Macaca fascicularis: one gene and its partner. The protein of the gene in region 1 binds, or shares a complex with, the protein of each later gene. Links are inferred from orthologs where the notes say so. Each region holds a gene or a part of one and is shown in the gene's direction. Other genes may lie near its edges.

Evidence for each region.
Region 2: the proteins of PDPN (region 1) and C-type lectin domain family 1 member B are in contact, whole or in part, in a crystal structure (PDB 3WSR), measured with the Homo sapiens proteins. The link is inferred for Macaca fascicularis from reciprocal best matches to the Homo sapiens genes PDPN and CLEC1B. Residues at the interface, in NP_006465.4 of Homo sapiens: Ala46, Glu47, Asp48, Asp49, Val50; in NP_001380271.1 of Homo sapiens: Arg107, Phe116, Arg118, Arg152, Thr153, His154, Leu155, Arg157.

What each region holds. Positions count from the first base shown.
Region 1 is NC_088375.1:221,697,344-221,701,819, reverse strand, and holds the start of PDPN (podoplanin), read left to right. Parts: upstream 1-1,545; 5' UTR 1,546-1,742; coding exon 1,743-1,809; intron 1,810-1,943; exon of another isoform or gene 1,944-2,053; intron 2,054-4,476. UniProt on the Homo sapiens protein: Mediates effects on cell migration and adhesion through its different partners.
Region 2 is NC_088385.1:10,910,247-10,914,544, forward strand, and holds the start of C-type lectin domain family 1 member B, read left to right. Parts: upstream 1-1,236; 5' UTR 1,237-1,257; coding exon 1,258-1,321; intron 1,322-1,967; coding exon 1,968-2,066; intron 2,067-2,191; exon of another isoform or gene 2,192-2,253; intron 2,254-3,066; coding exon 3,067-3,186; intron 3,187-3,346; coding exon 3,347-3,501; intron 3,502-4,298. UniProt on the Homo sapiens protein: C-type lectin-like receptor that functions as a platelet receptor for the lymphatic endothelial marker, PDPN.

The sequences.
Region 1 (4,476 bases):
ATCTAACAGGCTCAACAGACAATGCACAGTTCCTCCTGTCAACAGACATTATTGACACTAGAGTCATAAAATGCATCTCCAAGATGGGGAAGTCAGTTCAAGAAAGATTATCTGTATCACTAGTTTTCTCCTTCCATTTCCAACCCCTTGGCTCTAGGGGTGTTGCCCCCACCCCTCATCTTCTTGGTTCAGGGGCTCAGCTCCTGTTTGTAGCCTCAGGACAAGATGTTACCAGGGAGATCTTTAGAAATGCAGAATCTCTCACTACCCCACAACGGAATTGCACCTGCATAACCAACGCCCCAGGTAGATCCGGCTGAGAAGCTATGATGAAGGGTAAGGTTTACCAAATGTTCCTGGGGACAAGTTCTCCTGCGACACTGGTTTAAACTAGGAATTCCCAAAAGGTCTGATTAATGAGTTTGGAGTAGAATCCAGGAAACTGGGTATTTAAAACAATCTCTCCTGCGATTCTTAGATAGTAAATTTATAATGGGGAGGAGTCAAAGATAAGCATCTGAAAACAATTTTCACCCAGTGTGGCGCTTCGAGACAGCGTTACGTTCTTTTGTTGAAAGGAATTTGTGGCATCTGGGAGTGGAGCAGAGACCACTTCCCAAACTCCTGTTCTTCTTATTTATTTATTTTTTTTAATTCCAACAATTCAGAAGGAATTAAAGTAAAAGACGTAAGTTCTCCGGTTGCTGATATCTGGTACCTGAGATCAAGGCAAGATTGCTTAAACCAGTAAAGTGAGGATTATGGGGGCAAACTCAGGAATAAAGAGGGTGAGCTCGGCCTGGAAGGGGACACAGGTTTGGCGACCAGATGGGTCACCAATTGGCCCGGCCTAATCCAACTGCGCACGCCGGTGGGCCACAGCATCGCAGGGCTGGATCTCCTGGTCGGGAGAGGCGGATGGAATTCAGCCTCTGTTTCAAAACTGCCAAAGCCACCCGCTCTGCCAAACTCCCCCACCAGCCAGCTCTGGGACAGCCCTCCGGAGCCCACCCGCTCCCGTCCCCGGGACAAGGGCGCAATTGACCAGCGCGGGCAGCCTCCGGCCCACCCAGATGACGGCCAACTTTTTTTTTTTTAAGCCATCAAATTCAATATTTACAGGCACAACCCCATGCTTGGTTCTAAAACTACTGGCCACTCAAGGAACAGTTTACTTCTCACTTCTGCCCATAATAAGAAAAACAGACTTGTGCCTTGCTCTTAAAAGAAAAAAAAAAAGAATAATAAATATAGGTTTTTAAAAATTTATATATAATTTTTTAAACCCCGTTTGTTGCATGTGGTCCCTTTCCCTCCTGTTGCTGAACAGAAGAAAAGCCTATTTTGCCAGGGCCCACAGTCCTGGCGGCCCCCGCAGCTGCGGCCCTGTAACTTTAAACCTGGCCTGAGATCATCGTTTTGGCGCCGGCCAAACAGAGCCCGAGGGCGGGCCTAGCGCGCCCGGACGGAGACCACCTTGCGGCCGACCCCGCTCCCCCGCCTCCTCGGGAGAGATAAATGCTGACTCCGCTCGGAAAAGTTCTCAACTGCAAAGTTTGCTGTCCGGCTGCCTGAGGTCTGGGAAGCTCGAGCACCCTCCCGCGCCGGGGCTCCTGCTTCCACCGCTCCGGCCCCCACCGTCGCGCTCCTCCAGGCTGGGCCTGTGGCCGCGGCGCTTTTTAATCTTCCCCCAGCGCAGAAACTTGCTGCTCGGCCCCTAGGAGAGCAACTCAACGGGAACGATGTGGAAGGTGTCAGCTCTGCTCTTCGTTTTGGGAAGCGCATCGCTCTGGGTCCTGGCAGAAGGAGGTAAGACCCAGCGCAAGTGGCTTCCTGCGGTCGCTGATGGGGACGAGCGAGCAGAGACTTGCTGGAATGCCCGGGCCTGGTATTATTCGAGGTTGTCCAGGGGAGCGCGGGGGAGCTGAGGGTGTGTGCGTGCCAGGCGGCTCAGCGCCGGAGGAGGAGAGGCAGCGGCTTAGCCGGTGCCAGGTCCCAAAGACGCAGCTGCGCGGGTGTGCAGGGAGGAGCCCCGGAATCCACAGGCTGCGAGGTGGGCAGCAGAGGGGGCCTCCCTCCGAGTCGGCAGCGCCAGAGAGATCGGGTGGAAGGTTCACAGTAGGCAGCCCCGCTTGCTGGCAGCAGTGCCTGGGGTTTCCTTACCTTGGGGCGGTGTGTTGGAGGAATACGCACGCCTCGGGAGAAGCTGGCCCCATAGAATCGGGAGGGACGTTCAGGAGGGCTGGGGCCAAGAGGAGGGTTCCCCTCTCTGCGGTGGCCCTGGTCCCCCTTGAGACTACCTAGTCTGGTGCCCTGCCTGTTGGACGCCCTCAGCACCCCATCACTGGACTGGAAGAGGCCTCCTTTATCCTCCTTAGAGAGGATGGTGTGTGTGGAAAGGATCCAAGTGGAGGCTTCCGAGCGGTATGAGTGCATGAAGATTGTTACACGTTATGAACGTTGAGGTTTAAGTGGGTTTGAGCCACGTGTTCATCTTGGGCAACAAGTACAGTGACTGAATGCCTGTTGCTGACTCCTTAGGCTTTAAATGTATTGGGTCCCATGTTGGGGTGGGGGCGTCCACAGCTTCTATTCTCCTTTGTCCGCTCCTGGAGCCTTACCTCTTCCTGCTGGGTTGCTGTGTTGGTGGTCTCCGTTGACATCTGTCAACATTTTGTTTCTTTTCTTGGGTTTTTATTTTTATGTTTCCTCAATAGAACACATGTTCCGAAGGACGCAGCTTACATGCAGCCTTGATTCCCCACAGCCGAAACAATGCCTGGCACATAGTAGTTGCTCACTAAATGTTGGTTGAAGGAATTGTAAGCTAATTCGTGATCTTTGGGGCTGGAAGTTGCTGAGCTGTGCTGTGAAAAGTAAACATTTTCCAAAAATTGAGGATCAACGTAGGCCTAGGCCCAGAGGAATACTTTTGGAGAGGGTGGTTTGCAGGAGGGGTGCTCCTAACCTGGGCTCCTACAGTTGTCCACACAGACAAAAATACCCAATCTCAGGGAAATGATAGAGTGTACTGCTCTGTGCTGGGCTGTCTGCTTCAAAGGGACAGAGCAACTCTTTTTATAGGGGCCATGGGTTATTCGTGGCAGTCCTATCTTTGGAACTTCTCTTTCCACTGGAATATATACAGTTCTGTATTTTCAGTTACATTTCCTTTCTGGCGAGACAATGTGCAAATGACACCGTTTTGTGCTCACCAGGGCAAAGTGAGGGAGTGCCCTCACTTCAGCATCTCAGCCCTGCTAAAGAAAAAGCGGCTGGGTAACATCCTTTGTTTTTGCCCAGGGAAGCTTTAGCTGTGATTCTCTTCAGCCAGCTCCTGAATGTCAAAGGTACTCCTAAAAGATGGCATTAAAACCGAAAAACCGTCGTTGGTGCTGGAAACTCCACTACTAAAGAAAGAAGTGGTATGGGGGGCTGGCTGAGTGAGGGTGGGTGCTGAGTTGCCTGGCTGCCAGAGGAGCAGAGGCCCAGTAGGCTTTTTGTCTGAGAATAATGAGCGAGGCGACTTGAATATGGATGAATAACATTACTGAGGGAGGCTATAGTTGGCTTTTGTTGGGGAGCTGGGCTGGGGGGTAATTACGGTGATGAATTTTATGATCCTTTTCATAAGATCCTGCGCCCTACTGGCTTTCCCTCCTCCAGCGTTATAATCTGGTTCAGTTTTATAATCTGGTCCCATGTGTCATCTCTTTGGGTGTTAGTGGATTCAAAGGAGGTCTGTTGTCCACACATCTGGCGTTTTCTTCCTTTGTCAGGCCCCACCCTCATGCTGAACTTTCATCGGGAAGGCACGTTTTCGGGGCCTCTTCGTTGGACAGTTTATTTTGTGAGATTCTGCAAGCTGCTGCTCGCTGCTAACCCACATGGGCTTTTCCGGGACCAATCCACCCAGGATTAATCATGCGGCCAACAAATTTCCCTGTGATTTCCCCGAAACGCTTGCCAGTTTGGAGGCCCTGAAATCCTCATGAGTTGTTAAGAGTTTTTGTTGCACTGAAGGCACTTAATAAAGATCAGGTCTGTTAGAGGCTTTGTGAGGGCGGTCTCTGCATTGCACTGGTGTATAAGATCCAAAATAGCATTGAATATAGAAAAGCACAATTTAAAAAGTGTGTCCAGGCATGAGAAGACTGAGTCTGGACGTGGCCGAAGGAACTAAACCCCTGACTTTCTTTGGCTTCTATAAAATGAGCAGCACCTGAGGGACTCTACACTGTAGAATTATAAGGACCCCAAGCCTTGGCGTGACAGTGGAGGGTCAGACCAAGAAAAAAGGACAAGACCATCCTTCCATTCCCATCGCCCGCCACGTGCTAGGAATGTTTCTAGCTACCTCTTTGGATCCTTGTAACACCTGTAAATTACATGCTCTTATCTTGGAATATACCAGAACTGGGTTTGAAAAATAGGTCTAACTTCAAACCTCAAGCTCTTTTTACTACACTACTCTGC
Region 2 (4,298 bases), on another chromosome or scaffold:
GATAATTTTAAGTGAATTGACAAGGAATTCAGAGTGAAGCATATAGCAGGGAAGAAAAAAAATCTACAAGCTATGCCAAAGGGCAAGTTAATAAACAAAATATCGCCTACTACAGCCCACGTAACAACTATATTGAAAAGTTGAATACTCTGCTAATTAAAGAAAAATAGAATTTAGATTATTTATAAGGTAAATGCCTACTAAAAGTTTTGCTAGTCATGGCGATTTAACAAAAGTAAAAATCAGCCATAAAACTAAGTAAGAGCTACTCTCTGGCAAAATAGATAACATCCTTCCCAATATTCCTATAATAAACGCATCAGCTAGCTTTGTATGGCTGTGCTTATAACTACTTTCAATGCAAGCTAAGATAATTTAAAAGCACATTTCATAAAGTTAAATATGTGCAATCATATTACATTGTGATGGAAGGGTGCTAGGACTCATTCAGTCTTAAATATTCATCTAAGCACCACTGTACTTGAAATGAAGTGATTTCACCAAATCAAAATTCTTCCATTCCAGGAAACTCACTTTAAAGCACAAACACTAGTAAAGAACAATGCAGCAAGTCACTCACTCTGTATTATTTTACTTTATTTGATAGTTTTCCTTCAATACCTAAATCTAAGCAATATCAGGCCTGCCTCATGTGGATCCTTCAAATAAAAAATAAAATGTATAAAATATGCAAGAAGTTGTATAAATTCTAGGTTATAATCAGGAATGATCTCCTCCAACACAAGACTATGAAACAGCTAATTTAGCCCCTGTCAGATCCAATTATATTAGACTTGCTTCTCACAACGGGATAAACTATATATCTGCTGGTGAGCTATCCGTGAATTTTCATCAGAAATCTCTCATTTCAGCAATATAATTTAGACTAAGCTAGAGCTAAGATAAAGCAGGAACCTTTGTTCTTGGAAAGGATACATATGATGGAATGCCCCTTTATTTAGTGTTGAAGATAAAAAAAAAAAAAAAAAACAGGAAGCAAATACCCTATCTACTCCTTTACCACAAGTTATTATTATTTTTGTGTGTTTGTGTTCAAGATCCATGTATCTCTGAGCAGCTATGAAAAGGCTTCCTGGAAAACAATAAGCAAAGAAAAAAATGTGTCCCATCTCACATGGTTCTACCCTACTAGAGACAGGAAGATCATATACTGACAGATATTGAGATTGTAAGACTTGGAAACTACATTTTGCAAAGTCATTGAACTCCGAGCTCAGTTGCAGTACTCGGGAAGCCATGCAGGATGAAGATGGATACGTCACCTTAAATATTAAAACTCGAAAACCAGCTCTCATCTCCGGTAAGAATGCTCAGAGCCAATAATTTGGAAATTAATTTAAAAAATGAGTTGATTCAGTTTTTTTCTTTTTCTACTATGGATAGTGTATATAGTTTAATTTCTTTTTCTTGAATGATGTTAATGCTCTAAAGCATTTGAGTAGTGTTTTCATAAGCTCATACAGACCTATTTAGATTACAAGCATCCAATATACATGCAGGGAAAACTGCATTAAGGTTCTGAACGTTTAATGCTGGAGGGCATAGAAGTCAAGGGGATAAGGGAAGAGAATGTTTGGAAGTTTCGTTTTCTGAATGTGAGCAAATGAGTGTGATTCTTCATTTGCTGTTTATTAAAACAATTATTCATGGAATGGGTGGGCATAAGACAAAACAAAACAAAAAATACAAACGCATCAGGCCTTAACAGCAAGTAATATTTTGGCTTGGAGAGGTAAAGTCCATTGGGGATGAGGATGGGTGTGTGGTATGGGAGTGGGCCATGCCTATTGTTGATGATCATCAAGAGAACACAGGTGAGATCTGCCAGCAAAGCTCTTTCTATTACTTGGAGGACCCTGAGAAGGCAGGGGCAGGGGCAGGGGTGAGCCTTCCCCATAGCTAACCCGTACTGCCTGCTCCTTGATATCTTTATTATATGCCTACAGTTGATCCTGCTTCTTCCTCCTGGTGGCGTGTGATGGCTTTGATTCTGCTGATTCTGTGCATGGGGATGGTTGTCGGGCTGGTAGCTCTGGGGATTTGGTGTAAGTATTGACTCTGCCAGAAATTTGATTGGAGGAAGGTAATACTGAAAGGGTCATGGCATATCCCATTAAGCTTCTCAATGGTCACTATTTGTGTATTTATCACTACTCCAATTGTCCTACAGATAGTTACCAAGAGAATCTCAATAAAGGAGAATGCTGACCATTTCCTTGAGTTTAAGATAAGGTTTTAAGATTTTAATTAATTAAAAGTTATTTTTAAGAATGTACTACCAGCCTTTAAGACCCTCCTCAGTGTGGATCCAAACTATTTTTAAAAACTTCCTTGTCCCTTTTCCTATCTTGCATATCCTAAGAACCAACCAAACTAGAGTTTTTCAATTTCATATATAAATTCCATGTTTCCTTGTCTGAAATTTTTCTCATTCTATTCTCTCTGTCTAACGTTTTCTGCTTCTCATTTTGCTTACTAAATTATTGCACATTTCTTCTTTCTGTAATTCTCACAGCCCTCCAATGGCACACTGTAGTCTGTGGAGTTGTTGCTTGTTTGTGCATTTGTTGATTTTTTAAAAGATGTTAGAATCTAACACTTATCATCCTGTATTTCTTTATTATTTACCTAAATATCACAAGTACTTTAAGCATAACAAGAAATCAGTATGCACTTTTAAATGAATGAATAGTTTGGCATCACAGAAAGTACAGAAAATAAAAGGTCATTCACCTCTACAACTCAGTTGAGAAGCTTGTATTGAAGCAAGTGAATACAAGCTCTGGGGATATTACTGATGTTGGGATTTTTTTATTTGTCATTGTCTCCTTCAAACAGTTCACTCATTAACCCTCAGGTGTCAGTTCTATTTCTTGATTTGTTCTTTATAGCCCCTTCACACTTTTCAATATTCATTTAATCATGTGTATCTAGTTAACTCCTCACATATTGGCAATGTTAATGAAATGAAAATTCAATGACAGATCTTTGCATCATTTCTATGGTTCTAATTACAAATTATTATTATTTACTTTTTGAATCTAGCTGTCATGCAGCACAATTACCTACAAGATGAGAATGAAAATCGCACAGGAACTCTGCAACAATTAGCAAAGCGTTTCTGCCAATATGTAATAAAACAATCAGAACTAAAGGGCACTTTCAGTAAGTACTGTTTTTTTAACCTCTTCATCTCTCCAACCCCTGGAGCATTTCTCTTATGGCAACTGAAGGGAGTCTTGAGATATGCAGAAAACATTGAATGTGGAGAACATGTAAGCCCAATTTAGAAAAAATACACCATTCCTGTGCTTGGTTTCTCCAGAAGGTCATAAATGCAGCCCCTGTGACACAAACTGGAGATACTATGGAGATAACTGCTATGGGTTCTTCAAGCACAACTTAACATGGAAAGAGAGTAAGCAGTACTGCACTGACTTGAATGCTACTCTACTGAAGATTGACAACCATAACATTCTGGTAAGAAGATTCTTATGTCAAATATTTTGGAGGCAAGGGAGAGAAACCTCAAATGTAACACTTGACCTTTTTTGTTTTTTACATTTTTCTTAACATCTTTCCGTTTGTACTAATCTAAGAACCTTATGAAACCTAGTAAGAACTACAGAACCCAAATATTCAATCCAATCATAATATTCTACAACGTTGCTAGAGTTGATCAGTCAAATTGACTTGTCCCTTCCTGACAGCTCAGGACATAGTGGGTCACACGTAAAGAGTCAGCCCAGCAATGTTCATATTTATTTGTATCCTCTGTTGTTCTAACTTGCTGTGCTGTCCGCTTACTGTTTCTGTGGACTCAGACTCATGCGGGAGATATCCAGTTAAACAAATTAGCTTTTCTTTCCACTCCAGCAAAATAAGATAGTTTTCTAAAAATCTCAGCTCTATTATATAGAGATTAATTCGAGACATATATGCATATCCTGAATTTGTATTAGTCTAGGCAGATGCCAGGTTGAAGATTTATAACTAAAAGTAGTCATGCAACTTTTCGAGAATAAGAAATTGTATAGTTGGATTTCAGGTAGAATTTATCTGTCAGTTCCTATTGGGAAGTATAGAATATTGATATATTTTAAAGAAAATATTAGGAAATAACAGAAAGGTTCCTGGTGGCTCAAGCTTTAAGAAATAAACAGTCACACATGACTTTCACACAATATCTCCTGTGGAATGCCATTTTGAGTCTCACGTATCTGCCAAGAAGCTCAAGTCATTTTTTATTTACCAAGAATGCATCATCACTTGTTATT